Neodiprion lecontei: one gene and its partner. The protein of the gene in region 1 interacts with the protein of each later gene in a pairwise test. Links are inferred from orthologs where the notes say so. Each region holds a gene or a part of one and is shown in the gene's direction. Other genes may lie near its edges.

The links.
Region 2: the proteins of RCC1-like G exchanging factor-like protein (region 1) and nucleoside diphosphate kinase 6 interact in binary tests that used the Homo sapiens proteins (3 or more experiments, as listed by UniProt). The link is inferred for Neodiprion lecontei from reciprocal best matches to the Homo sapiens genes RCC1L and NME6.

Annotation. Positions count from the first base shown.
Region 1 is NC_060264.1:18,407,805-18,425,530, forward strand, and holds RCC1-like G exchanging factor-like protein, read left to right. Parts: upstream 1-4,984; 5' UTR 4,985-5,175; coding exon 5,176-5,284; intron 5,285-5,869; coding exon 5,870-6,130; intron 6,131-7,220; coding exon 7,221-7,506; intron 7,507-8,922; coding exon 8,923-9,095; intron 9,096-9,337; coding exon 9,338-9,499; intron 9,500-10,237; coding exon 10,238-10,365; intron 10,366-10,958; coding exon 10,959-11,090; intron 11,091-11,099; exon of another isoform or gene 11,100-11,174; coding exon 11,175-11,252; 3' UTR 11,253-11,707; downstream 11,708-17,726. Other genes in the region: CD2 antigen cytoplasmic tail-binding protein 2 homolog, read right to left, coding at 505-689, 1,989-2,169, 2,751-2,914, 3,466-3,622; uncharacterized protein LOC107225508, read right to left, coding at 13,500-13,636, 14,501-14,720, 16,422-16,570, 17,222-17,371, 17,441-17,644. UniProt on the Homo sapiens protein: Guanine nucleotide exchange factor (GEF) for mitochondrial dynamin-related GTPase OPA1. Activates OPA1, by exchanging bound GDP for free GTP, and drives OPA1 and MFN1-dependent mitochondrial fusion. Plays an essential role in mitochondrial ribosome biogenesis.
Region 2 is NC_060260.1:28,969,971-28,983,688, forward strand, and holds nucleoside diphosphate kinase 6, read left to right. Parts: upstream 1-6,128; 5' UTR 6,129-6,321; coding exon 6,322-6,399; intron 6,400-6,705; coding exon 6,706-7,009; intron 7,010-7,189; coding exon of another isoform or gene 7,190-7,205; coding exon 7,206-7,393; 3' UTR 7,394-7,708; downstream 7,709-13,718. Other genes in the region: sperm flagellar protein 2-like, read right to left, coding at 1-228, 338-5,341; uncharacterized protein LOC107220398, read right to left, coding at 8,274-8,434, 8,558-8,697, 8,922-9,221, 9,302-9,860, 10,163-10,196. UniProt on the Homo sapiens protein: Major role in the synthesis of nucleoside triphosphates other than ATP. The ATP gamma phosphate is transferred to the NDP beta phosphate via a ping-pong mechanism, using a phosphorylated active-site intermediate. Inhibitor of p53-induced apoptosis.

The DNA of each region.
Region 1 (17,726 bases):
TGTTCAATATAATAATTTAATACCTATATTTCAGAGCTGTTTCGTATGACTTGATGACAACATAACGTGATACAATACTTTTTATAATTATGAAGGAAAAAAAAAAATTCATAACTTTCAAACTAAATCTGAACCCATGACGAAAATTACACATATTTTCTTAGACCAAATCGAGTGTTCTTTGGAATTTTCAGTAGAAAAGAAACATGGTTTTTGGGAAATTTAGGATACTAACTTTTTAATTAATTTTTGTCAACTTTTAGGGGTTTCTATATTGTTTCCCTGTTGCAATTCGTCAAAATGATGAATACATCGGTTTTTGCGACGGCAAATGTTTTAGTTAGAGATCCAAATGGTATAATTATTTTGTGCTAAAGAATGTAATACGTTAAAAAGTCAAGATGGTATAGAATGGCTTACATGCAGTGTTTTCTCAATGCAATAAATACAGTTACATGTTAAGTAATCAAACTTACTGAGGATACTTATAAAAACAGTGCATACCTTTTTTTTAATTTGTTCATAACTTTCCTCGTATATATCCATGTTACCGGTCCGTGTCAAAAGTTCGTTTGCAAACTCTGTTAACTGTGTTATTTTTTCAGCATTTTCATTAGTTTCTATACCGGCTTGTGCTTCTTTTTTCTTTTTCCATCGTTCTGCAGTGGTCATTCTTTTGTTTCCTTTGCCTAAATATCATGGAAAATCATAGGTGAATATACTGCACGAAGAACTGTCAGTTGCATCAAAACAGCAACTTTTAGGTAAAATCATAACGAGAAATGCCTACTGTATTTGTTATCATGAAATGTGTTGAATCAAAACTTTGACAACAACCAGGTATATATCTTGTGAATCCGAAAAATAGGTGAAATCAATTTGTATTATAATTTGGAAATAAAATCCAACTATTCGACGGGGATGCGACACAATTTGTTTGAATACTTCTCTACTTTTGATTAGAAAACGATGGTGGGCCGTACTTCGAAGAAATCCATAAGCTTTGAATTCTCTACAAATTTTTCTCGAATTTGATACGTGACTTTTCACTTTCAATTCATTATAATTTACTGCTACTTATTTAGACATAATACATTGTGAAGTAATTTACTTGTTTGTTTAAATAATTTTTTTTCATGCGTTTCCTTTTCCTCCTCAATATTGTTCACTACTTCCGACATTTGTCTAGCATGACAATTTGCCACCGTCTTAAAAATGACCAAAAATAATTGATTGTGTATTAAATCGATTGTTGTATCCCGATTATCAAGTATCATCGCAAACTTGATTAGCGACCAACTCAGTTATTTATCCTCACAATCAGTTTTTGTTTTTTACTTCCATGAATGATGCAATATGATATTAATTTATCTGATTAAAGTATGAATTATTATCATTGTCTTACTTAGTAGGTACCTATTTGATATAATAGGTGAAAAATAAATGAATATTTTCACCTTAAATTGAAAAATATTTTTAATGAAACTATAAGTTCTGAAAAAACTTTTCCGCTATTATAGCTATAAGACTATATACTGAAATTTACGGAATTTTGGTTTCACATACACCGTTTCAGCAAACTTCGAGATAATCGATTAATCGATTAATTTTTACCGATTCCATCGAGCCTTATTCAATTATTTTTTTGGACTCGATTAATCGATACATCGATTATATTTAGCTTAGTGGCCATCGCTACACTGTCTTCTCTCTTTAAACATCTAACGAACTAAACTAAGTTGTAGAGGGCTGGAAGTACTATCACCTGGTCATACCTACTGCAAAAAAGCTAAGCTCTTTTGTCCATCGAGTTAGTTTATCATTTTAATTCATTTTATTAGGTGGGTGGAGAGATTTGGGGGGGGGGGGTTTGTTTTATCCCACAATGATTTTACTAGAAACACTAAAAAAAATTTGTCAAAACAATATTCAATAAACCCTTGAATGCAAAAAATTATATTATCAAACGCTGATCAATTAGTTTTTACCTAGTCTGCGAAGTGCTTTTGATACAGTTTCCCCAGGACGCAAATACTCGAGAATTTTTTTGTACAATGGCACGCTGTCAAACATTACTTCTTGTTCATCATCCTCGCTATCGCTGTCCGCCAATCCTTTGATTTTGTCACTTGTTTTATTGCTTGTACCTTCGCGTCCCCCAGATTTAATCTGTAACCCAATTTAGGCATTATTGTTTTTATTTTTATTATTATCAGAGCTTACATTATTAACAAACTAGTTGTTGTTATTATTGCCATGATTATGCGTTTCACACAGAACTATGAAAGTATAATTGAAAGATCCGTTTCATTTTTGGCTTTCTATTTCCCTTATAAAGTTTTTGATTTTGCAGTCACAAATAAAAAGAAGAGTTTCCATGATGCTATAGTTTGTCACTATTTTCGATATCGGTATTTCGCACCATTAACATTGTCTGAAATTTGATGAACCGTAACAAAGCCAAACATAAAACTTAAATTTTGCATAAGATTGAAGTTAATAACATTAAAAAATTTAGAATCATTGCAAAATACGAGTACAACTAGCTTTATTACAGTTCACAGTTTCAAAAGTTCCGTTGTAAGATTACGAATTTTCTAAAAAATTAATGAATTCGAAACTTGTATTAATTTTCCAACTTAAGATATTTTCGTAAAAATCTCATTGTATAATAGTCGAGTAGAATAGAGTATTTTTAACAAAATAAATACATTAGTAGCGGAATTTGATTTTTGAGCAGTGTTAACAACCTGAACCCAGTCAATGTTGTCAAGCCAATTGTCTCTGATCTGCTTTTCCTTGTTCCAGAGGTAATGACCATCCTTATCAAAGTGTCCCTCTTCCAATTCCTCCTTCATATTGAATGCTGTGAAGCCTACATCTGTCTCTGCTGCTACGGGATCGTCTTCCGTTCCTTTATAATAAAAGATTTCAAGTGAACACGAATTTCAAAGATTTAGAAAAGAATCGTATATAATTATTATTACTACTTAATTTGAATGAAATAGACAATATGAGAGAAAAACTGGAAAAGTGGCCCTGCTGAAAGACTTTGATCAGAACATTCATCAAAAGATTCTAAACAAATATTACAAATTTGAAGTTCATCACATTATTGTGACGATGCATTTTGTAAGAAACTTTGTTGAATTACAACATTAGCATTGCTCCAAATTATATAAACCTTAACGACGCCAGTGTGAAGCTCGTGTTTTGTAAACTTGACTCATTCAAAGTTGTTTCAAAGTTGCTATATTTGTTTTTTTTTTCTAACTTTTCATTGCATTAAAGTTACTAACTTTAATCTCGCATATTATAGAGAGGAATTCAGACACAATTTATCATCATTTGTATCATATTTTTGAATCCTATTCTAGGATATTCCTTAACATTAAAGTCTATTGAACTATTAAACTAAATAGAATTATTGGATGCGATTCGTAAACTAATGGCAATGTTGCGCACCTTCAAAGTCATCCTCATTCATGACATTGTAATTATCCTCATTGGCTTCTTCGTCCTCCTCATCAGAGTCTAAAGAATTCTTGACGGTCGGTTCTGTTTTCGCCCTACTATCCTTCCAGTCTTCACTCAGTACATCCTCGAGCTTACGCTTAGACATGTTATTCTTTCAAAGTTTTCCTAACGATTGATGTTATTCAATAAATCATAAGACTTTGCAAAGTTGTCAATTGCTTTGATGCGGTTAGTTTCAACTATGAGATAGTGGTGGATGATATAAGAATAATGTTCAAGCGTGTTATGATGGTGACAATGTTTTCATCCGGACGTTCAGTCACGCAGAAGAACGGATATTGTTGAATTGTTCATCTATACTTATTGTTGACCATCTCTCGCACAATATTACAACTTCTGAATCATGTGAAGTGAGTAAACGAAAAAAATTCCAAACACCCACAACATTCTTTCATTAACTAAGAATCACGTAGTCCGACAACGACTGCCAGATATACGCTGGTTTTTCACGTGCAGCATACAGCTTGGATGCGTTTCGATAATTTACTCCCAGTGCGTCAACAATCTTTTATCTCTTTTGCGCTACCGAGTTTTTAGCGCTGAGAGCTAATTTCGGAACGCACCCTTGAGCGCAAGACCGTCCGAATTGGCTATCTCCTTAGGGTGAATTCACATTTTATGGAGGAAGTCTAGTATACCCTTTCGTGCAAGCGTAAAATGGTATAGAGAGAGAAGTAGTAATGGCGCTGCAAGGGTTCTCTGTGTTGCCAACATAACTGTCAAGTTTAAAAAATTAGCCGTCTACACGGTCTTATTGTCCCCAAATGTACCTGTTACTAAATCAAGCCGTTGAATCGTCGCGTTTCTATCAGACTTCGGCGAAAATGCCCATTCCACATTTATAAATTGTATCGTTGCATTTAAAAATATGCTAAACATTGATATTATTGACTGTTTGTTTCAATAACCTGACCTACCAGGCACCAATGTATAATATGTATTTATATAATCTGGATTATTTCAACGCAATGCTCGAGGCACTCAATTACGATAGGTACGCTCTTGCTGTAGAAAGAGAGCGCATGTAGCATTACGACATCTCTCTCGCTCACTGGCTCGGGGACCTTTCTTTAGCGTCGATGCATCCTCTATGTCTATATGCTCTAAGGTTAGGCACCGCGGCACGGATCATGGTTCAGAGGTAACCAATCAAAATGCCTAAAATATAGGAAAATGTAAAAAGTGAAGGGTGGCGATCGTAACCTGTGAACATCCGTGCTACAAACATACTCCGTAAATTCGTAAAATACGCATTTGAAGTGAATGAAAACTGAGTAATTACTTTTCCAACTGACATTTGAATCTGAAGAAAAGGTGGCAAACGGCGAATTATAAGATACCGGACGGGGCGGGGGGGGGGGGGGAGAGCGCTATACGGGCTTACCCCGCAAGAGGCGCTTCAATCGCAACGTGACTATTCCTCATACAAGTTACGTTGCCGCAAAACTAGTCCAACGTTTGAGCCGAACGGTGCTTCAGTGTCGTCTCCTGCCGACTGCTCCGTGATTAAGTGTTACCGGTGTTACCGCAGATGAAACTCTAACCTCAAACAACAGACAACCGTGCAAAACAGTCGCTTACTCAACTATGCCATAATTAGTACGGCACGTTTCAAATATTGCTACAAAAGTTTAAATAATGTTTAAGCTAGTCAGAAATTATTCAAAATTATCTTCTCCAAAAGTCCGCCAAAAATTGACAGCAACGAATACAAAATCTCCAAACCCACCACCAAACGAATTGCCAGGTAACGATCACTCTAGGGATTTTTTACCGTAAACAAATGTGACATAATGAATAACAACATTGGCGATGTGTATTTGCCTGATACAGTGACTCCACTGGAGTTACTTCGATTTCACGAAAATAACACCGATGACACTTAAAAAGTACCCTGAATTTTACGTTACATGATATCAATCCTCTAAGAGTGATTGGTACTGACTGCGTTATTAACAAGTTGTTTCGTATTGTACTGTGTAAACAGAAATAAGACATGAGAATTCCCGAAAATCTTGCCATTACACAATGCAGGCTAAATTCACTCCAATCTCTTTCACGTCGCTTTAGCATATCTTTATCGCAGTCATTTAATTGTTCTAATAAACTCTGCGTAATGTTAAAATTCGGACCATTTGTAGTACACAAATTGTAGTGGTTTCTTCGAGAGTAAGTTTTTTTTGCCCCTATCTGATACATACAACTTATAATAAATTATTTTCACAAAAGGATGTTTCTAGTTTTTCAGGTGGGAGCAAAAAAAATATTTCTTAGACATCTAATGTCTTAATATAAATAATGCTGAAAATTTTTCTGTAATTTTGCATTGCAGTATTTCAATATCCAGTAAGTCAGAGTAGCGACCGCAGGGTGTACGTTTGGGGCCTTGCTGGTCATGGAGCCTTGGGACTTCAACCGCCGATCGCGAAGCGCAAGAAGTTCTTATTTTATCACAAACCGAACAGACTTCGATTTGCAGAACAGCATCGAGTGATAGATATCGAATCTGGTTATGGGTTTACGGTCTTTGCCGTTGACTCGAAAGATGGAAACATCCTTTGGGGAAATGGAATTAACACAGATTCTCAATTGGGTAAATGAACGTGAAGATGAAAATATAAATTCAATAAATGTTAGATATATCATTTAGTAGATTCCATAAGTTGGTTAAAATTTAATATCGACCAGATAACGTAATATTGTATAATTGGAAGTTGCATCTTTGTACACAACTTCTAACCCAGATGCTGTAAAAGAGGGATATCTGCAACATGGCACGTGCACGCATTTGTGCAATATGAATAAAAATTTGGGACAAAAATATTAAACTGATTGTATACGTGGGTAACTATCAATCTACATTCTGCGTTATATTTTCGATGGCATTTATCATAAACAGTAACTTGATTCTACAAGTAGTAGCCAATGGTTAGGAGTTGAAAATCGGATTTATTTAAACATTCCACACCTCTCTTTTACCTTTCATTTGAAAAAGCTGTAGGACTCAAGTCAAATGGTAAAAACAAATGAATTCCACAATTTCAAATTGAACCTTCGTCTTTGAATTTTCAGCACTGCCTGTTGTCGAGAAAAAATACGACCTACTGTGCTTTTGGCATAAAAAAGTTTGATTCTTATGATTATGTAATCATTTTTGAGATAGGTCTTCTGAAATTGTGACAAAAAAACATAGGTTTTTTCAACTTTTCAGTCGTATATACATGACGGATCAAAAATGGATTTTTATTTATTTTCTTTATTCAAATTCAGACATTTTGGAGTATATCCTCAAGTTTTTAGAATTACATCATAATTAAATCATTAAAAATATTCCAGGGATACAGAATATATTTAGGAAATCCATGATCCCTCGAATATTTATTATGTTTTATAAACGATGCCATTTCCATTCCACTATACAACTCAGAATGTACTCTATAATGTTTACCATTTCACATTAAAAAAATGCAGAAAATTTATTCTTAGGAGTTCGCAAACATGGACTGAAAGTGTAAAGAACAGTTCCCGACAACAGCCTTAAAATGGATTTCATTTTCGGAAAGATCAGACTAAATTTTAGTCAAATATTGCTAGGATTGACAGATTTTAAAGGTGCCTTCAGTGCAGTCTTCATTCGATTTGATTCACACTTTTGATTAAATTTGATCCAATTCTTTCCTCAGGATATGATGCAGCAGCAAAGGATCCTCAAAATGTTGTTCCACTCCCAAAGCCGATACATCTGCCATTAAAAAATCCGTCCAGTCAAGTAACTGGACTTGCTGCTGGTCGTGCACATTTGTTAGTTCTAACAACCGAAGGCCTGTTTACACTTGGAAATAATGGTTATGGTCAATGTGGACGACCAATAATTGTCGATGAAGATTACACAAACAATACAATAGTTCATCATATACCAGACATCAAAGGGGAGCGCATAAAATCTGTAACAGCAGGCCAAGATCACAGGTACGTGATAGCATTTACCAATCAGCACTGTCATAAGTTATTTTGATCATTTGTTTTAACAGAATGATCTCAGATAACCGTTGAACAAAAAGATATTGCGCTGCCGTCAAAAAAATATTTTTTGCAATTAACAATTCTTTTTTCTCAACACACTAAGAATTTTCCGTTTTTATTATTGTCTACTCAATTAACCACATTAAAATGACGATAATCTTACTTGTAGAGACAATTACGAGAGAAATTATTTCTCATCTCATCAAATGAATTTGTACATGAATAATCTTATTTTCATTTAAATAATACTCGTTACCTTAGACAACAGTGAAGATAAGATAAGATAAATAAGATTGAAGTTAGTAACGTTAATGTAACGAAACATTGAGAAACAAAAATCACTATTTTTCAATTAAAAGTGACTGAAGGTGTTATTAAGTTTCCAAAGTATGAGAGTATTTTTATATTCATTGTATGACTTAACGAAATTTAAAGAATCCTAAACTTGCAAATTAACGATTTTTCCTAAAAATACATGGCTATATTAACATTATGAACTTGAACCTGATATTTACTCATTGTTGGCAATCACTACATTTTTTTGGATCTGCACACGGCAATGGGCATTCCATAAATTTTTTGACTTGCAATAAGCATTTTCTATAAAATTTCGGTTTGTCTTGTATCTCCAAGAAAGATGAGGCTAAAGTTCACAGAATTATTCTAACAATGCATTTCTAAACGAAAATGTTCATTTTGCAACTTTACGTTAAATTCAATTCGGTAAAAGATAATAAACCAAAGTTGACCACTATCTTTTATAACATTTTCAATGTAAATAGTACAAAACGACATGTTGTATCATTCTAGTTCATATATTTTGCATGAAATAACCAATTATTACTTTACAATATGTTTTTTTTTTTTTTTCAAATTTAAATCATTCATTCGACGTTTAAAGTTCGTAAAGCAAAACATTTCTTGAATGAAAAAAGGTGGTTCATTTGATTATGGTATATTTTGCACTAACGGTGAGAAGTGGAAGTTTTTTTAGCCATGTGTGGAGTTTGCAGTACGAGCTTTATAAAACTGGTAAATCTTTAGAAAAAAAACAAAAAAAAAAAAAACGAATCCTGCTCCATTTTTAGGACATAAAGAAATGTTAACATAAATATCGAACGAGATTGAAGTTCATGATGATGATGCAGTGAGAGTGTTTTTATAAATCATTTCACAAACTTGAAAATGTCAGAAATTCGGTAAACTGTAATGAAGCAAAATATACTCGAAATTTTAAGAACTGAACATCTTCAAAGTCATTGCAAAATAGGGGCACCTTTTCCAAATCTTTCATTGTGTTAGCGTTAAAAACTTGATAATCTATAAATCAATGAATTACAAGCTACTCTTTGTTTTCTGCAGTATTCTTTTAAGCGAGTCAGGCCAAGTTTATACATTTGGATGGGGTGCAGATGGCCAAACTGGTCTTGCACATTACAGAAATGAGTACAAACCGAGCTTAGTGAAAGGAGACTTGGCTGGTGAAAATATTGTCAAAGTTGCCTGTATGGCAGACTGTGTCTTGGCGCTTAGCGGTATGCTATAAAAAAAAAACTACTTGTTATTATCATTGCTTAACCAATTAAACAAATCGCAGACGTCATATATTGATGTGATATTCTACATAAATTTGTTTGAAGAGACTTCCCATACTAAAAGAATACTGGGGAAAATCTTGAAAGACCTGGACGTCTAATCTGCTTGCGAAATTCTGTATATAATTCAGTTAACTTTCCCCTACTTCAGCAGCTTTAACATTCTAATATAATTTTGGTAGATAAAGGCACAGTATTCGGATGGGGTAATTCGGAATATGGACAGTTGCCATCTTTGGTTGATAATCACCAAATAAACATTGCAACAGAAATCCAAGAGTGTCGCTCCCTGGGACATGTTGTAGACATTGCTGCAGGCGGAAGCTTTTGCATGGTTTTAAACAGTAAGAATATATAATCAATCGATCAAATACCTTCGGTTAAAAATCAATGCTTTTTTTACTAATTTTACTACGAGATCAGCTCACGTACAGTTTTTATCAAATTATCACGTTCGGATGCTACGGTGATGCTTCCAAAATTGCTGAAAAAGTGTGACTAAAATTATGAACAGCAGTTTAAGTATCAATTTCTCACTGGAAACAGCTTTAAAATGGTGGAAAAATTTACTAGGCTCGTTCAATTTCACTCCATGAAGTCATGGTGGCTTGGTTTGTTTGGAAAACTGTTTCTTGCCAGTTCTGTGAAACAAATTTTGTCTTATTCTCAATTATTGATTAAGTATTGCTATTTCCTGATCAAAATCGATACCACTGGAATCTTGGAAAATTGTATATTCAACAATATCAACTTGATAAGTAAAACAAAAATTGTTGGACTTTACTTGAAAAATTACCTTCTACATAAAATGACTCGTTCGCAAAATGATGTGGCATTTATATATCAGATTTTTCAGCATCTTAATGCGATTAGAGATGAAAAATGGTTATCCTAGTTTTTTATTTTGCATTCCTAGAAAAATCATCATAGCTTACGAACGTGTTGACCATATGAACCTTCGAAGCAAAGGCTTGATTTTTAAGTGACAAATCTCTTTGAGTAAACAATTTACTGTAATAAGTAGCGGATTATGTTTCCTTACTCTTTTGTCATAAATTTTTCTTGTTGATCTGAATTCCTAGGTGATGGCAACGTTTTTGTATGGGGATATGGAATTCTTGGAGTTGGTCCTGCTGTACAAAGAGCAAAAGAACCTACAATGATTCCGGCTACTCTGTTTGGTTTTAACGCGTATAGCCGTAATAATCGGGTCAGTAGAAATTTGCCTAAAATTCCCCCAGTTCACAAAATTCATTCATGAAATTCTATTCTTAAGCAATGATAGTTTGCTATTATGTTTTTAATACACTTTTGGATTGACCACAATTGAAATTCAGTGTCATCTAGACTTCATCGAAATCAATGGATTATAGATGAGTAGACGGCTAAAGAAATGGGTGAATTTTGGGAATTGATATCTTGAAAACCAACCACTCATTTCGATCGGAGTTTGTTTTATCGAAACGTGTGTAGATCGAACTTCAGCTACATATTTTTTTTTTTTACTATAGACATAATTGGAAGCATTGTTAGTGACAATAACGTCAACCATTTAGCTAAGTGACATGTTTTGCGGGGCCCACGATATTTCAAAACCGGTCCGACCGATTTACTTCAAGTTTGAAGACAGTGTTTTTGGATAGTTTAGCTTCTTTACCAAAATCTGAAATTATTTTTTTCAACCAGTGATGACTGTGCGAAATTGAAATTCGATGTTTCATACAAAATTTACTACTGAATTATTCGATTAAAGAAATATAATAGTCAGCAATGATAGAAAAAAAATTTTCTACCTTGTCACAGGTTTCTCAAATATACTGCGGTATAAGTCAACTGGCGGCAGTGACTGATAATGGAGACCTTTATATGTGGGGATGCAACAAATTTGGATCTTTAGGACTTGGGAATATCGAGGATCAGTTCTTTCCATTGAAAGTAAGTATATGTCAAACAGTGTCATACATTTCATGACATTCTTTATTATTTGCTGTCACATGAATTATATATATTATATTCTAGGTAGCAGTAGGTGCTCAAGTAAAAAAAGTTTCTTGCGGCGTCGATCATACAGTCACATTATGTAAACCTTATATATAAAGCAGTGTTTTCCTAACGAACAAAATATATTTTTACGTATTGTCACAAGGTGTGTATGAATATTAAGAGTTGAACCTCGATAATGATACCGGTATTTGCCAATTGTAGGATTGTAAAAAGTAATGTCTATTTAAAAGAAGGAAATAATTCATTATTTCCGGAGAGCTAATACAGACTTAACTCGTACTAGAGCTTCGCGATTAATCGATTAACCGCAGATTTGAACTCATTTTTTATCTAATTCGTCGATTAATCCAAAAAAAGAAAAGATCAATTTCAATAAACAAATGGCCGATTAATCGAAAATCGATTAATTGAAAGGGTTGATTACTTGATTAATCGGGAAAACTCTAAATGATGTTTCTAATGAATCCATTAATAGGGAAAATGATTAATTGAGAATGCCAAACAATCGATTATTCAGAAAAACAATCAATGAAAAGAGTCAATCAATCGACTAATTTCAAAAAAATGTATGATTAATTGTTTTATTGTGCAGCCCTGATTCGTAAATAAGGATACTTCATTAGCCCATTAAACTGAACTTTTTCTAGTCAGTATTTTGTTACAGAAATAAATAAAAGACAAAATAAGGGCAAAGAAACTGTTCCTTTTTTAATCTTCTTCCTGTTTTTATTAACTAATTTGTACGTTAACACTCTCATTTCACTAAGTACATCTCATTAAGTACTATGCAATGGAAAAAAAAAATAAAAATTGGGTGCAATCTGAAATGTATTATTAGTACGAATACTACGCGATTATTTGCTTTTTTTTTATCAAGAATCTACTTTCTTAGTGAAATATAGGTAAAATGAAAAAAAAATAAAAATTTCAAGTTCAAATAAATTGATCAAACTTTCCTTCAGCAAACCAATGCAAATGTCAAAGTTTACATACTGATATTATTATTTCATTTTCTTCGAAAACTCAAATTTCATCAAATAACTGGGTTTGAAAACTATAAAACCGGGACGACACAGATCAATAATTGTGAATTGAAAATGTGATGCAGTTTGGAAATGTTAGTTTCTAAACTTAAATTCAGTAAAATTGATGATGATGTAATATTTGTAATTGATTCCTATGACGCGCCATTTTCAATATCAAAAAAAAATCTTTCACCTGGTTTCACAAATACTGACTCCTTTGCGTAATCAGATTAGATTGCAAGCAATTGAGGGAGAATTCACGGATCTGTAATTCATGTTTGCTCTCATTTTTCAGAACCAAAGTGTTGATCGCATTTCTGCAAGATACCATAATTATAATATTTTGAGGACTTTGAATTCGTTTTGAACAGTTGAACTTGAATGTGACATTAATTCAACTTCAAATCAATTGATCGACCATACACAAGTTACAGACGTTTACTTTGATGATTCTATTTTTAAATGAATAATTCTTGGAGAAATGATCACATGGTTTTATACAAGGCTCTGAAAATGTGCCATGTCGCTGCTCACCGGGGAATACGATTACTTTTGTAAGAATATTTACAATATTTATGAATTTATTCCAACTTTTTGTTCAAAGGAACTTCTTTGCTCAAATTCCCACTAGGCTATATTAGTTGTGTAATGGATTTGCTAGATTCTCAAAATCCGAATTTAGTTTTCCACTTGAGAAATGATCAGAATCCGGCAGCCCAAGTATAGTTTCAAGTTTTATGTATCCTATCTCATCATGAGATTAATTATCTTACGAAAATCTAAAATTTAATGTTTATCGCTGTAGTAGCCATTTAATTATTATGTCAAGTATTAAAGAGTAAGTAAGTTTTTGATATTGGAAAGCTGATTGCACTGAAATGCAAAATATTTGTCCTCCTATTCTGTTCAGAGAATGTAGCCAAATCGTTACAGCTTGGAGATAGAAAAATAAATATTACCCTGAAATTTATCTTCATCCAACAATATCGCGTTTACAACTGAATGACGACGATTTTTTTTTTTTTTTTAATTTAACTTCAGTACTGTAATGAAATTCTTAGCTAAAAGTTATCGTATGAACCGAAAAAAGCCATGCTTATGCACTGAGAAAAGGTTCCCTCGTGATTAAAACTTGCGATAACTCTGTAAATACAACAAATGTTTGAAAACTCTGGCGCAAATGTTTCTCCATCAAATACTCGATACAATGTTATCTTCGAATAGCGTAAAAATTCCGTAGTATGTATTAACAAAAAGCGTGACCGTTTTAACACGGAATCACTTCGGTAACTGCGTTTAACTCTATACACTTATATTACATGAAGTTGATAATGAAAGATACTACCAGAACCAATGGAGCAAAGAAGAAAGTGCTGGCACTGCTTCGGCATACAAGATTGTCGTACGATATTGTGAACTTGCGCATGTCCGGATAACGGCAAACGTTGGCATCTGAAAGATTTTTATGTAGATATACGCTCGTGTGTTAAATTGTAGAATACAGAAAATACCAGCGTTTTGAATGGCACTGGATAACGAGCATTTTGTTGGTCAAAATAAAAAGAGAAAAGACTGTTTGAAAAAACTCCAGCAGTGTTATTTGCGCTAATAATGTTGAACACTAATCAAACAACATTTTTATTATGTTATAGAAATGATGATGAGCAAATTCAAATAACACCAGCTAAGATATCACCAATTTGCGAAAAAGTTCTTCAACTGGAAGATACGAAATGCTTAAACTCGAATGTATTCGATCCGATTCTAATGTTTTTGAGTTCATTTTACTCACCGAACAGATTCTCCGAAATTCTCGAAAAATATTCTAGAAATCTTACTTTATATTATAGTTATAAAGCAAATGTAATCTTTGACGAAGATTTATTGTACCATGCTTTCAAAAATTTCTCTTTATCCACTTCGAAGCTAACTATTTGTGAAACTTTTTCAAGCGATATCTGGATATATTTATGGTAAATGAATTAGGCCTGAAATATTTATAATTCCATCAAAAGCACCAGAGTTTGATCATTTTCAACGTTTTGATTATTAAAAAACTCATCTCTGAAATTGTTGATACCGTAAAACTTCTGTTATTCGAATTTACTCTGAATTATTTCTGTTACATACTAAGGATTTTATTGCATCTCTGTTCACCATTATCGGCAAAAATTAGATTTCTGGAAATTTTTAAACGCTTTTTTCTCCTACTCAGACCAATTCTTTCGTACTTTAAACGCGTCTGATTTTCGTGGTATACTCGATGGAAAAATATTCATCATGGCTTTGGATTTTCTAGAGGTACTGTAAATATACCTGTGCATTGGTATGATACTGAATCCGAAGCATTAGCTGCCACAGATAAGTAGAGAGGCTGACATCTGTGTATGAGATCCACGCCACTGCAGGATATGCTGATGCTGTGCGTATTTGTTGTCACTGATGTGCAGCTTACGTCGTTCGGAGAAGTTGAATTTGGCTGAACCACCGAACGCGATGTACAAACATTCAGGTATCCCCATCCTGCACCTTGAACCTATGCATCAATCAAATATTATGTGGTAACTGTTGAGGTTATTGTTGCATGATGCGAGGTTTAACCCATTCGCTTTTTTGTACACTAATTTTCGTTTTCTACGAATTTCTGTAAATAACTCTCAAGTATATCAAATCGGGGTAAAATGTTTTTACAAATTCGTTGCCACTGTTTATTTTGTAGAATTATTCTGACATTGCGGAAAAACGCAAATTTTGAAAAAAAATTCATTTTCTGAAACATGTCCAAAACATCTCAAACTTGTTCAAGAAGTGTTCCTTTACCGAAATAAAGGCATTTTGAGTCAATATTTTCATATTAAAGCGAATGAGTTAAACTATCTAAATTAAGCATTGGGAGAAAATTATTGTTTTACGTATGTGTAAAGTAACGTTAAAATCTCATTTACACGATTTTCAAGGAGTATGACAATTGTGACGTATAACTGGGAATAACGTTGAAATTAATGTTTTCTCAACACTTTGTCTCACTTTATGAATCGAAATGGCTTCATGGTTACCGTTTTATTATAAAGAGCTTCCACAATTTCACTAATCCACAGAGAAAAATCCACTGTAGAATGTACGGTACAAAAATGGTAGCTTAACTTATATTCGTGTATACATATACTATACACTAATGCATGAGTTGCATTAAAAAATCAAGCGAATTCGACATAAACTTTAACTCGACTACAACTTTTATTGAACTCACTGACACATCTATGGTAAGTTTCACTATTATTTTACTATCTCCTCAAACTATCGCATTTCGACTGTAGCTTCTATGCTGAATTTTACTCCATATATTTCTATCGATTGAAAAATCTAGTAATAGACACATCAAGGATTGAAACGCATATTTCGACTGAAATTTCAGTTGTGATTAAAGTTTAGGTGAAGACAAAGGAGTTTTAGAACCAGAATGATAACGTAGAAGTATGAAAAACGTATATGTGGATACATGGTTGCGTATTGGCAAAATTAGCACGCATTTTTTCATAAATCTCCATTTGCGAAACAGCGATTCACTTGAAAAGTATTCTTGCAGGCTTCACAGCGGTAAATTTCCTAAATCCTAAATATACCCATTTTTTTTTTCATGCCTTCTCCTTTTACAAACTCTCCAAAGTTCAGTCTTTCTCCTAAATCCCTAACTCTTCTGAAATTTTGTCATCGGTTTTTTTCATTTGCGTTATTCGAATTAGATGGGCAAAGTTGAGTGGAAGTTTCTACTGTATAGAATCGAGATAACAAATTGGAAGATCGATGGTATGATTATTTAATGGAGCTTTTCTAATAGTTGCAAAAACTATGGAATTACACACGTCATTAAGGAAATCTTAATTAGCTCGTTTGCATCCTTACTATTTTTGCTATACGGTTAAAAATATATACGAAACTTTATAAGACAAGAAATAAAAGAATGAAACTAATGTACCATACAGTTTTCACTATACTCATGCTCGCATGTTTTTTTTTCTTTAGGATTGTTCAGAAACATTTGTACCTGACATCTTCCCATTTTCATTCGAATTCATCCCTGTTTCTCTTAATTTGCCTAAATCAAGCGCCGTGAAGCCTGCATTTCATTACGCTGACCGTAATGCTTTGTAAGTTTGAAGACTGCTGTTATGTTATCAATGAAAAAATGGTATTATCAATTTCTCATGAGTACTAAATGCTTTGTCACGTTGTTTACCTTCACAGTTGCCGTATCTGTAGAAAAATAGTTGGGATTCAGTCTGTAGTATTTGATGCCTGAAGGTTCTACGTAGTCGACAAACGAGGCTGTTGATCCCGTTGATGAAAATGAAGCTCCACATGCAGAATTGATAAGGCGTTTAGGAACTGTAAAAAAGTAGTGAGTACAGATACAGTAATATCTTATCTGTGAAGAAATAACACTGTGGAACGTAAAAACATTACTACATTTTTTTGCTGCATTTTCATTACAGTATTTTCTACACTCTTGTGTTGATGAAATTACTGAAATTTCACCGAACGATAATCTTAGATATCCAAAGAATTTACTCATGCTGTCCTTCATTATTTAGTCAAGTTGTATTTGAATATTTGAAGTCCATGCACAAAAATCCTTTTCGACTTTTCCAAAAAATCATGTTCTGATAATTTCTTACGTAACAAAGTTTGAATTCAAAAAATTATCCTAATTGGTTCAGAGTTTGAATGTTTGTTTCATCAAAAAAACAAATTTTGTCTAAAAATTAAAATAAAATTTCTCCACTTTTTTCCAGATATACAGACTTAAATGCTTTTGTACCTAAAAATTTGGTTTTTGAACATCAACTGGAATTTCAAGAGATGTAAAAACGAATTAGGATAAAAATTTCCATAAGTTAACAGAGCGTGCAATTTTTTTGTACATATTCTATAGATTTTTGTCGCTTAAAAATATTTAAACATTCTAAATCTTAACCAGAGATTTACTTGAGAATGTATCAGCGTATGTAACTTGGCATAAAAAAATCACAGCCTTACTTTGTTTGATACGTGATATAACTGGATTGATCGTTGTCAAAGTGTCTGTAGTGCTTGTTGCGGTTATCGCAAACGTGTCTGTGGTCGAGTTGGCTGCAATATCGGACCATTTGTCCTTGGATCCGTAAGTAAGATAGAGAAACACGGAATCTGAAAAGAGCAAAGAGACGATGAGCAGAGGTGAGGGGTGATTTTTATGTGCTATGGGTCAATACCGACCAGGTACTTCCTCCCTTATGATCCTCAATTGCTGCAAGCAATACTCTTTGTCGGCGTCTGTAGTAATCGATGAGGTGTAGGAAAGGACTAGTACAACATCCGAGTTGCTGCCGCCAATGTTTTGGCTTTGTTCTTTGTTCAATCTTTCCTTCTGCAGAATACGCAGGGCTTCAAGTGCCTTGGGCAGGTCGAAACCCGATGTAACTAGATATTCAATTTTATTTAACTTTAGTTACTAGCCAAGATTCAGCGTTCTTCTTACCCTGGTGAAAATAATTTCTACGAT
Region 2 (13,718 bases), on another chromosome or scaffold:
CGGAGGAAAAGAATAAGGGGTCGAGAGTACTACATTAGGTGGTAACAGTCTGGAATTGCCAGGTGATACTGAATTCGTATACTCGATACTAGTATTCCGCTTTTGCTGAGAGGCGGTTGATTCGATTCTGTCACTGTGGTCGTCTAGGTTGTCAACCTCTGAGATCGTGATACCTTCTGTTAGCTCCAGCGTGTTTTTCAAGACATCGCTTATAACGTTTGACACGTTCTGAAAGAGTGTTACGTCATCAGAATAGGTCGACCCGACCGGGTTACACGGTTCGGATAAATTCAATCAATTCGTCACCCGCACCGAACAATCCAAGTGCTGAACTAACCTTTTCGGCGGCTTCCCATTGATCATTTCTCATGGCCATTTCTTCGGCAGCGAGGCGTTGCTGCTCTAATAATTCGGCAACGAACTCCTCGCCCTCTTTTTCGGATACACAAATTTTATCACCGAGAACTAGCGTCAGTGCCTTGCCGAAACCTTCTCTTGGGTCGTAATCTTTGCAGAACGCCAGAAGAAACGCGGTGTAATTCACGTTCGTGCATCCCGACACAAACATCTCGCATAATAATTCCTTCGCAAGCATTAGCCGCACGGTTTCCTGCGGAGTAATATTACGGGAGCTTGCCGGAAATGTACTATCAACAGTGGAGTCGTTGCTGTATAGTGACCTTTTCGACTCAGACGGTGTTTTTGGTAAGATTAATCCGCAGGTCTTTTCGATCTTAGCGTATTCTCGTTCCTCTTCGTACATTTCCTCTTCGTTACGTTGATAATCCTCATGGAGGAGATTTTTGCAGGCCGGATCTTTCAGGTCACAATTTGTGAACCAGTATTTGATGGAATGAAATTGATCCCTGGTTACCATCTCAGACAGGGTTGGGTCCATGGCTATAAACTGGAACCTCATATCTAGGATATCTTCATCGCTGGGCATCGATATGTCCATAGCATAGATAATGAATTCCCTCCAATCGACGTACTCCGTATCTCCAAATATCTCTGTAACCAAGTATGGGACATCGCAGGGACGCAGTTGTGACCACAATGAAGGTAGATGGGATATTACACCTTCGTCTTCGCCGCAGGCGATAATGTCCTCGAGGATATAAGTGAAAAAACGTTGCGGAAGACTGCCGTGGGGTGCCACATACCGGAATATATCCATCAGGCGACCAAGTTGTCCCATACGAAATTGTGAGGGTAATTTTGCTTCACGTATTGGCTCAGGAGGAGGAGTTGGTTCATCCGGATACATCAGAACGCTTGATCTGACAATGAAGCGGTCCTCGTCCAACAGTAACTCTTCTTGAATTGGTATTTCTTCTTCGATTGCCAAACTAAATACTGATGCCATTTCGTTTACGCTCTTGATCTCTCTGTTGTAGCGATCGTTGGTGGCAGTCATTACGTTGGAAAAACATCGCTGCATAGTTTCATAGAGAAAACTGATGTCTGATAGAGCAGCGTTCTCTAACAATTTTAGTCTGAGGAGTATTCTATTTATTTCAAATTGCAAGGCAGATCGCCATTCACAATACAAATCAGGTCCTCGCTTGAGAAGTTCAGCCATTAGTTCGGCATCAACTGTGGGTAGTAATTGATTTTTGGCCATCTGGATTCTACCTTTAGCGTCAGGGGTAAAGGACGTTTGTTCTTTCTTTAAACTTTCTAACAACGATAGCGCCTGAGAATCAACGACATTTCGTGCGTACATGATATTTGCATGCACCGCTTGGTAGCAGATAATTTCTCCGGTAAGGTGAGGTGTTTCCTCAGCAGAAATTAGCAATTCAGCAATCTGTTTTTTGATACGAGTACAGTCGATGATAGGTGCTTTGTGTGGAATTTGACTAGCAACATTTTTGCCAGTTTTCGATGACGCTGTTTCCTTTGCTGCAGGTTTTTTGGCTTTTACAAGCGATACAGTTGACGAAGAAATCATCAATTCGTTTGAAATTATTTCCAGTCTTTGAAGAGGAAGTTTCGCTAAACGATTCTCGGAGATGGGTCGTTGTAGCATAGAAGTGTAATAATCCTGAAGAAGTTGTACAGTATCGATGTATCTATCTACTTCAGCTTCAATCATGCATATGTAGAGATTAGCCAAGACGACCATTTCCTCAGCTGTCCAATCCAATCTGATTATTCGTTGCCTTTCTTCCTCAGCCTGTTTTCGTCGTTCGTCGCAAATTTCCCAAAGTGCTTTCTGAAAATCGGCTACTCTACAATGCAACTCACACTTGACATCCAAGTCATCGCGCATGTCCATCGCAATATCATTATAACTCGTATGAAACTTGTGTAACAAATCTTGCTTGGAATCAGGCCGTTGAATGAAGTCTGTCATGTGTTTAGTCACATAGTTTCGGTAGGGCACAATGTGTGAGTACTGCACTCTTTTTATAAAGAATATTTCTTTAAGGTCCTCAATATAAACAGTTTCCATATTTTCCCATAGGTTTGCTAAGGCCTCCAACAGCAACGGAGCTTGAGGAAACTTGATCCATTCCCAAACATCTTCCCCGGGTTTTGGTGGGGTCGGTTCGACAGTTACTGTACTAATAGTGTTGTTCAAATAGTTTGCACCTTCACCTTCATAATCACTTTCTCCTCCCCAGTCATCGTTCACCGGTTCAGGACAGGGTACGAACTGTTTGACTATCGGAGTTTTGCTCAAGGGTGGGTTTGCCTCTTCATCTTCTAACGAATCCAAAGCTTCGCCGAACAGTTCAATAGATGGAACTCGTGGAATTGACATGTCTCCAATAGCGAGTCTACATAATCTCTTCAGCGTGAATAGATCGAAGGATGTGTAATAAACTGCATAAGCAATGCCTTGAGTAGTATAAAAGGCATCCAATGGCGTTGTGTCTTCCGAAAGTATCTCAAAAATGTCTTCCTCGCGTATGTGCATATTTTTAGGTTTTGGTAATGCTCGAATATAAGCCGTCATGTAAGAACTCAATGATTCCCTGCGTACGTTCGGTATTGGATTGTAGACAAGTCTAGATTCTCTGCAAGAACGAGAGAACTCGCCCAAGTTCTCATCTTCGTACGTTATCCTTGGAGGTACCTGGTTCAGTTCATCAATATCACCGTCAAGATCATCGGATATTTTTTTATCCTGAGGTATTTTAATACCTGTGAGAGCCGACTCAAGTTGTGCCATCTGATCAAAAGTGTTGGGATAATCAATCAAAACCCATCCTTCTATGTCGTTCAGACTCTTCATGTATTCGATAAGGATTTTCGTGTTCAATTCATTGGACAATGGCTGGCCCAGAGTGAGAAATTGATAAACCCATTTGCCAATGTATGCAGAATTCGAAAGATCCGGAGACATATCTTCATTTGGAATAACGCGAGGTGTCTGCGTTTGCTTATCAACAATGCGTGTAGTCATTTCCGTTGTTTTTGAAGGTCCCATAGGTGTTGCCTTCTTCTTAAGAGTAGTGTTTTTGTTCCCGCGTGAAGTTGGGTTATTTAGTGCAGTTTTCGACGATACTTCGTTCTTAGACGTTATGGCACTCAGATCAATGCAAGAGAAATCCTTCATTTCGTCTTTGAAGCATCGTAGGCAGTAATTTATTGCATCCTCCATGAAAATGAGTTTAATACCTCGGTGATTCAGCAATGACTGTATTGTTGGATAGACAGATGTGTCCAATACGCCGAGAAGGATGCAAGCTGAGGATACCTTGGGCACTGAAGCAGGCTCTGGCTTTGACTCTGGGGGATACACGTAATCTAAGAGACGATGGACGATGTAGCCAAGTACAATAATCCCAAGCCTGAGTATTTCCTCGGTTTCCAAATCAATATCTGGCATAAATTCGTCCCAAGGTGCGCTTACGTTCAAATAATTGTCGAAATCAGCGTCATTGAGAACCTCTTGACGCTCAATTTCTGCTCTGAAAATATCTTCTACTTCATCTTCAGGGTTTTCCTCACAGAGATATTCGATATTGTCAATTGATGAAAAAATTGGTTGACTCTTGATAAACAAGGCTTTCCATTCTCCCCAAATCTTGGCCGGAATAAAGTTATCGTTGCTTTCCCGATAAATGGCTGCCTGCACAGCGATGTCAATGAGATCGTTCAAGACATCATTACAAATAAGGTAATTCCTTTCGTAACAATTTTGTATTTTTCGTTCGTGAATTCTTCTATGTAATTCACACAGTCTCGAACACTCAGCCTCAATATCCTGACCTTCTCTGACGGCAACTTCATGTTCCCTAGCAAGTTCTATATTGTGTTCGGTCCTCATTCTTTCCTCCATCAATTTATTAACAATTCCTCTGTTCTTTGCGATCCTTTGCTTTTGATCTCGAATTTCGCAGAGTTTGGTCATCATTTGTTTTTCGTACTGTGACTGGGAGAACAATTTCTTGGCGACGGCTAGATCAAATTCAGTCTCTTGGTTGGCCACTTGTTTTTCCCACAATTTCGCCGTCAAAGATTTTTCCATTTGACTTTTACATCTATAGCTCTGCGATGCTCGCCGCGTTCGATCTTTCATACATTTTACATACGTCTTAGCAGCCTCCGGATCAGCCGGTGCTGGCTCCATTGCTTCACCAAGTTTTTTCTCGTTGCAAAGCTCATGATAGGTATATTTTTCTGGACTGCGTACCTTGTGCTGGCAACTAAAGTTGTGCAACTCCTGTATTTCCTGCTCCGGAAATGGTCGTATATAATCCATATGAACCTCACTTTCTTTTTCCATGATGTTCTCTGTTAGTATTTTTTCGGTGGAGTGTACTTGTTGTTGCTTTGATACGCATAATTTTCGGGCAAGTATGCACCTATTTAAGATTGCCTGGAATTTGTCGCGGTGCCAAGCGATTACGCTTGCATTACTTACAAGCTGGCCAGCAAGTGGATTTTCCGAGCATACTGGAGGCGGTGACTTATCTGGGACTGTGCTAACATCAAACTTTGACGACTGTGGAATGAACTTTTCTCTTTCTTTTTGTTGGGTAATAAAGTGAAGCTTGTCTTTACCCTCCAAACTGACGAAAATCTTGTAGAAAAGTCGTGTCGCTGTAGTACCCTGTCCGTTGGATATCTCCTCGATGGTATCATCGTCGCAATCTACCCCGATAAACTTGAGCCACACGCGAAGAAGTTTCAGATTAACCCTTGCTAAGGCTGGGTCCTCCGTGCTATGTATCGTGCTGATCTGGGCGTTGTCAATTATGTCGTAACTGTGAAGAAGCTGAGCTAGAAGAGTACCGTCTCTGGTAATTAAACCAAAAACGTCTGGATGTAGATCGATCATTATTCCTAGCCTATTTTGAAACCATGTTTTTAAAACTTCACTCATTTTCAACACTGCGCGGTAAGTTACGAATTCAGTATTTACATTCGCGGTCGCAGAAAATTTTGTTACTGTTGTGAGACGACCAATAAATAACTTTTTGAATAACTATAAGTGCTGTGGTGATATTAATTCATTGAAGTGAAACTGTATTTGATTACATCGATTTTGTAGACAATTTCAAGCCGTACTGGGTGTATTTTCCTTCTATATAGTTGACATCTTCAGTACATGAGAGATGCTATGTTTCATGAGGATTCAAATGGCTAATGCTAAAAGTATAAACATCAATGCTCTGCGACTAGTCTTATGATATTTTTTACTATTTTGATTGAATGAAATATCGGACTTGAAAATTTTAGCAACAAACTGACTCAAAAAAGGTTGGTATAAAAATGATATAAGTATTTGAGATGTCTCTTCTGAACAATTGGTTGGTGAGTTGATCCTACCATTTCTATCCATCCGAATATGCCAATAGTAGGTATGCATGCTCTGGACCCGTGCGCGTTTGGTTGCCAGAGTTTACTGCGTCAGGCGCAAGAAATTTACAATATTCTCTGGTATCATACATAAAACTTTTATCGTTCATTTTTAATAAGTGTTTTGAAATTTTCAATGCATATGGAACATTGATATTCAACTCAACAGTAGAGTAAATACTAGTACAATGGGCAATTCCTTCGTTGGCTGTTCCTTTGCCAGTACCACGCCAATACAATATATCCTAGTCCGGTTTCACTATCGTTGCGCCAACCGCGGTCAAAATCGAAGTTTTGATCGGAGCCCGCGCTTTGCGGCATGGCGCGGATCTTGAGCGGCTTGTCAGCTGTTGGCTGTGGCAATTGTGTACCATTGTGTATGGTAGACGTCAAGGTGCTTACCTTTGCCAAAAATGATTGGGCAATGAAAAATTCGAATATCTTGACAGTAGTGCAGTAAGACTTAACGTCATCTAAACTTTCGGGTGAATAAAAAATGCTGAGATGAAATCAAAACAACCTCTCCAACTTACACTAGCAATACTAAAGCCGCATGTAGTTAAATCTCCGTTTGTTCTTCAGGTAAATTACTATCTAATTTCAAATGCAAAAACGTCTGGTGTGAGAGATCAATTATTTATATCAATATTGCGATCATATTGAGTAAGCCTCACCTCAGAATGCATTGAATGTCATCATCCGTCGTGCACCTCCGCAAAGAACCTAACGTAACCTCAGTGAAAGTAAATAAAAAAAGTCGTCAGATACCTTGGTGACAAAATTAAACCGAGTGTGCCTCAAATGTCAAAAGCATGGCTGTAAAAAAATGCGAACTACTAGTGTTGAGATCGGCACGTGTGTTGTATGAAAAATTCTTTCAACTTCCAGAAAATTCGTGACTTGATAATTGATGAGGGTTTCAAAGTTGTCAGATCTCGTAGAACGATAATAACACCAATGGAGGCAGAATCGTTTTATGCAGATCACAAGGAGAAATTTTTCTATAATAGATTGATGACCTTTATGTGCAGCGGTCCTTCAGACATCCATATTCTGACAGCTCATGATGCGATAGCTAAATGGAGAACATTGATGGGTCCAACAAAAGTATATCAAGCCCAATTTCATGCACCTCATACTATCAGAGGGATGTATGGACTGTCAGATACAAGAAATGCAACTCATGGATCAGGTAATAGCATGAGAGAACTTTTATGCTTTGTACATAAGCAAAATAAATTCAAGAATTTCTGAATCCTTATACTTTCCAAGATTGAGCGTCTTATGAATTAACTTCAAAGTACATTTCTAAGATTATTAGTGTACTAGTCCGCAAGTAATTCAAATAGCCCTGTGTAAAATTCATTGATAGTGGCCTCATGTTTCAGACTCCCCAGAATCATCAAAACGAGAAATAGCCATATTTTTCAAAGAATTCAACATAGAACACTGGTTCAAAAATGAAGAGATTTTTTACAATTCAGGAAATTTAAAATTTGATCCATCTTTATTCATTCATACCATTGACAGAACTAGGAAAATAAACGAGAGTGACCAAGATACAACAATGATTTGAAGTTTAAAATTAGCAGACAAACGCCTTAAACTTTTGTCAAAAGAGATAATAGAGGCCCGTTTCATGATCCATAGTTCTATAGAAGTATCAGGGGTTCGATGTATTTGAAAAAAATTTCATTGTTGGGCTTCATTATCTTATTTCTGTAGAAAGTATCATGTTTGTCTGGTTGTTTCAGCTTTCTGTTCAACCATGAATGCACAATTCACCAATGATATATTTACCATGATGTATTGTATATAAGAATCATACCTTCTGATAGTTGATTATGTAGATTATAAATAAAGGTAAAGCAGCAATGAAGTAGGTTGTGAATTTGGTAGTCATATTATTTATCCTTTCGAAGCTACTTGTTATCGTTGCACTTACCTCCCATGTACCTGAATCTATACTTCATGAATCAAGAATGGCACTAAAAATTAAAGATTTTACTATATTCAATGTAGGAATACACGTTGATGTTAATATTGAATGGGTATCGATTCCTGTTCTATGTTACACTGATCAGATCACTGGAAATTTACAAAACACAGTCATGCAGTAGAAATAAAAACATATGTTTTTTAAAAGAATAATTTATTGTATTTTTCTTTTGTACTTGAAATCTTGATGTTTAGTATTAGATCACCCTAATTTAAAACAGACTAGTTAATTTACATGCGTCAAACAAATATTTACAAATTATTTCCTGGATTAAATATTTTTGTTCAAAACAATTCAATCTGCTAGATGCCTACAATATTTCTTGAATTATTTAAACGAAATACAAATCCTTCCATACTATAAGTCAGACATATTATACAATATACACAAGTTCTGCAACGCATGATAATGTGTACCAAATTGATAAATGCACCACAAATCACATGTGATAAAAACTTCAAGCGTTAATTTTGACATAGACTTTTGGTCTCGAAAATACTTTTATACCCTCTTCTATTTTATTGAGCTGTTTCTCAATTTCCATTTTTCGTTTCTGGGATCTCAGAGTGTCAGTTTTTATTGGCATCATATTTAATTCCTTAACAAATTCTTGATAGTCTGCAAATAATATGTTAGTATGTTGTAAATAACATGTTAGTATTTCATCGTTCGAAATGATGTAATCTTTTTATAATTATTCTAACCACAGTTAATAAACAGCAAGTAGCAGCAGGTACTCACTTTTTTTCAACATACGGAGGGTCTCCTGGCGTTCACTGTCAGGCAGCGGGACGTGGCCATCTGGACAGTCAGGATCTGGTGCCTCTTCTTTCGCCTTTTGTTCTTTTTGCAGCTGTGCCTCTTTCCGTTCTCGAAGATATCTGTAAGTAGAAAATGTCCATTCAAGACAAGATTATGAACTATCACGATGAAAAATCAAAACCGAAACAAAAAAAATAAACTTAAAATTAATTCTAGAGTATGGAAGATTAGTTAAAATTTTCAACCTATCCAAAACTGAAGCAAGACAAAAAAAAAAGTAACGAGTCTACTTGCAGATAACGAGTAAAAGTAATGAAGAGAGAAGTTACTTTTAACATCATACTTGGGAACAACACCCTTTCGATAATGAGTGGGAGGTACGCCATTGTTAAGCTGTGTAGCCATTTTGGTAGCAATTGATGTTTGCTGTTTGTTCAATTTAACAAAATCCGTTCCTTCCTCACGGGACGAATCTAAGTGCAGATCAGGTGATTTGGGTGAAGGAGATGATGGTGTTGAACTAACATCCCCACGATCCGAGGGAGAGTTAGCACCTTCACGTGGTGTTTTATTATTTTGTAGTGCTACCTCCATTGTTTTGCACATAGCCAAATCCAGTCTAGGACTCCGTCGGGTAGAATACCTAAATAAAAATTATTGTTCAGAAACAAAGTTGCAAAAAGTAATTGCAATATCTTTCAAGCAGGCCATGAACACTAGTACCTAATTGTACCCTCGGCATACAAATTGCTCATGTGTTTAGCATCCAAAGTTTGAATTCCCTGGCTTCTATATTTTACTTCAGTGTTACTATTGCAACAATGCCCACAGTTTAGGTTTGGGTCTGAAGGAGCCTTAGTCATGTTGCTTTGCAGCTTTTTATTCAAAACTGCTTCACGAGTTTTTCTCTTGAGTATAGGACTCTTTGCATTACTATGCAGTACCATGAATCCCTTCTGAACTCCTGCTGTGGTTTTACTTTGCAAAGTTGGGGCACTATTTTTGGAATGAGGTTGAGCCTGCGACTTGGATTTTTCAGGACCATCCAATTTCTGTTTAGCAGTTGATGTGCATGTTTTATCAGAAAAGTCCTCATCTTTAGCTTCACGAAGACTGGAGTTCACCCGCGATGCTATGTTCTGATATCGATTAGACGCTTTTTGTTGCCTTCGAATTTGTAATTTTTGTAATTCCTCAACTTCCTTGTGATTGTGAAAATAATGCTCCATTCGCCGGAGATTTTTCACATTTTCATGTATGAAGTTTTTTCGCCTGTTTACTTCTGCATTTACAAAATTACACAAGTGCTATTAATTTCAAAGAATAATAAATGTAACAATACTTTTCAACATGTATATTGTGCTGAATATTGCCATTGATCAACTAGGTCATCGTAAAGTGTGATTTTAATAGTATGTAACCTGACTTAGGTATGGGTGATAACTGCATAACTGACGATAAACTTCAACGTATTCGAAATTGTTCAGGAAACAATATTAAGTAGGTAGAATCTTAAAATAACAGAAGATAATTTGTAAACAGCTTTCCTTAACAATATCAACTAGAAAAGCTGTCTGGACTTACTGGGTTCGGGAAACACACCTTTCAATGTCGCCATTTTCAACGTAAAATCTATAACAATTGTTTTGTATGCGGAAATATCGTTGATAAATCCCGGTGGAATCTATAGGTAAACAATTAGACACCGAATCGACTCGAAATTATTATATGAAACCTGAAGTGACTAATTTTATTCTAATGTTCGCACCAGGTATAATAACATACTTAATCGATATAAATTTAATTTATCTGCCGAAAGCAATGAAATCAAACTTATCACTTCAATTTTGCGCACATTCCCGTTTTCAAACAAACAATTTTGTTTACAAAGCAAATCATGGCCACTCTGACATTTCTGCTGACATTTTCAGTTGCTACGAATGTTCATAGTGCTGAAATCTAGAAGCTGCCAAACATTACCGACATCGTAGTCGATAAGTCAGCTCGTGTTATAGATGGCGTGGAAATGATAACTGCCACGCAAAGAACCAGCAACCTCCATAACGTTGACCGAGGATATAGGTATAAAGACTGATAATCTTGTGTTATTTTGCGTAAGAGTTTGCCGGGTTTGAGGGAATTAGCAGTTTCATATATCATCAATCAAGCAACTGACCACACCGGTAAAAGAAGTTCTTCATAACTAAGAACTATCGCGTACAAAACGTTGGTAACATACAGTCGTCATAGTGAAATTGAAAAGCTGAGAAAATCCCGTTCAAAAAACATCCGCAATTGGTTGGAGAATTCATACTTCGCCTCATGTCGCATGTTACGGCAATGCTCTAAACATTTGATCGCGTTATGCGTAGCTTACGCGGTGTTTTCACCCAGCCGCTAAGACCATAGAGATATATAAAACAAAGCGTAAGCAACGGTGTAAGCGTCCCGTGAACGGATTTGAATCGGTTCTCTAAACGACAGCAGATAATAATTCTAAACAGCAAGGCAGGCGCGTGCAGCTACCCCCACTCCATGTGAAGCGCGACAGCGCGAGGGGGGGGGGGGGGCGAATTATTATGTTCCGTTCTTCAGAAAACTGAGTTAGATTTCTTCCGAGCGCCGTGCAGCATCAGTCGTTTCCGAGCAATCGGAGCGAAATCACGTGCTCTCAGTATTGGTTCAAGATTCAGACCGCGTTGTTCAGGTGATGTCACGTTGTTCGATCAGTGTATTTCCACCATACTCATCTGTGAATAATATACGAGGAGCAGCGTGTAACCTGAAGGAAAACCGAGTTACTGAAATAAAAACATCCTGCGAACGTTGAAGGTGAATTTCGTGTCCGAGTTTTCATTGTTTAGTGTAACTTCAGATTACAGTGATGTCTACTTTTGTCTTTATGCGTGGAGTATCAATTTTTTTTTTTGGCTGATTTTCGGTAAATGCGCAATCGCATTGTTAGTAAGTTTGTTCGGTCAGTTCAAATAGACAGCTACGACAAAAAAAGTGAGTGTAGTATCGAGTGTTAGTGTTATTGCGGTGCGGATTTTGTGGATTATAAGAGATTAGTGAAGATCTAAATTGTGTAAAACGTGCGTCGCTTCACTAATAACCATGAGATGCTACAAGAACTACTACATCTAAAAGCGTGGAGCAGCCCAGAGTCGAGGTAACAATACTTATTTTAGTTTTGGTCTTGCATAAAATGCAATGCAAAAATATGAAACTAGATAACACTAATAATTAATTTGAAAACTGAAAAGCCAATTTGATAAATTAATTCAAGTGTTCTATTTTGTTTTTCAGAGATTTAAGCAGAGACTTCCGAGTAACTTTTTCATTTCTCGGCAACGTTGGTGAGGTTGCATGTGTTAGGTTACGGGTATTTCCCTGGGATTCCTCTGTCACGTGGCGTGGCGGTAGCAATTGTTACACAAATCTTCGATTTCTTAGCTTCATGGATAGGCTCATTCGCGATGGCAACGTGCTTGACTTTGTCGAATAATTTTTTTTTGGCATTTAATTTACCATAGCCTGCTTGAAGTTAGAAATTTTGCACGTTGCTAAAAGTGGAATGAGCATCGCGACAGGTAACCATCGCTTATTCGACACTCGCGAGGTCGGATTGCGTTTCGTAACTGATGTAAAAATCTACACTTGAATTTACCGATGTCGTTTAAGTGGTGGGTTCACCTGAGGTTTGAACGAATTCAATTATTTACATTATTGTTAAATCGATAATATTCCAAATTCTGGCATAACGTAACGTAATCAAATTGCATCTTATATTATATATCATTTTCAATCTTTTAACAGCCAACAAGTATTGATCAAGTGCTGGCTTAGTTCGCTTAGAAAAATGCTAATTGGTATACAGGATGTTTTAATCAATTTTACAAAAGGTTAATGTACCGATAGTCTGCTAGTATTTAATAAAATAATACATACAATACGAGGGTTGGCGGCATACAACCGCGATACTGTATTCTCAGTAGGCAGACTACGATACAAAAACATTTTGCTCCCAACAGGTAAACAACGAAAGTGTAAGTCAGTGACCACGGCGCAAATGATGAAGAATGATGTGTGTTGGAAAAAATGGAGAATCGTTTAGATCGAATATAGGTAACCGGGTAGGTAGGTGGACGTTTTGGGACCCGTCGCGGGGTTTATGCATGTGTGTGTGAGTTTCTCTTTTCCGTTGGGTGGTTCCGTTGGGAAGCAGGCGAGGGTAGGAAGGTCGCGATGAGCCGTGATGTTACTAACTTTTGTAATCCACAGCGTCAAACGATCACAGAAACTTTTTTCCAAAAAGACTCCGTATTCGAGTCTCTCGACCATTTGCAAGCATTTGATATTAACGAAATCGAATTTCCCATTTCTTATCACTCTACAACCATTTTTCAATCGTTATTCAATTCAATTATTTAGGCATTACCGATCAGTATTCCATTCAATTGATCTCTGTGATCGTCTGAATGGGCAAAACGCATTTCTGGACCATCTATCGCGTTCCGTGGTACGCTAGATGGGGAGAGATGCTGAGCTCGAAGACGTCGCGTCGAAGAGGACCGCCGACCGTCACGCCACACAATAATGCATGCCCTCCAACCTCCCTCCCGATATCGCTTTGTATTCTGAGAACAACAATCCGCATAGCAATGTATCTAATTTAAAAAGATGCAGATGTGGATTGGGTTTCTAGAGAATTTTCAGGACAAGTTCCCGATAATACAAATTTTTTAATAGTTTAATCTGTCGCGGCCTTATTGCGCGCAGATTAATCACGAGAATTGTACGCAGCTTTTTGCGTGTAAATTAATAACCGGTATCGGACACGTTTTTTGCGCGTCCATTTGTCAAGTAGCATATAAAAAAAGTTACGCACACTCTATGTGCTGATCTTTCAGCTCTTCGGTCAATTTTTTGACGAATAATAAAGTTGTCTAGTTCCATGCCGCCTTTTGCGCGTGGACTTGATACTTTCCAGTTATGAGAGAAAGTGCGGCATTAGAAAACCTGCGCTCAACGCGCAGGAAAAAAAATCTCGATAGTGTATACTGATAATGGAGAATATTGTTGTAAGCATTTATGAAACATGTCTGAAATGTACAGAAATACTTGTTTAACTGATCGC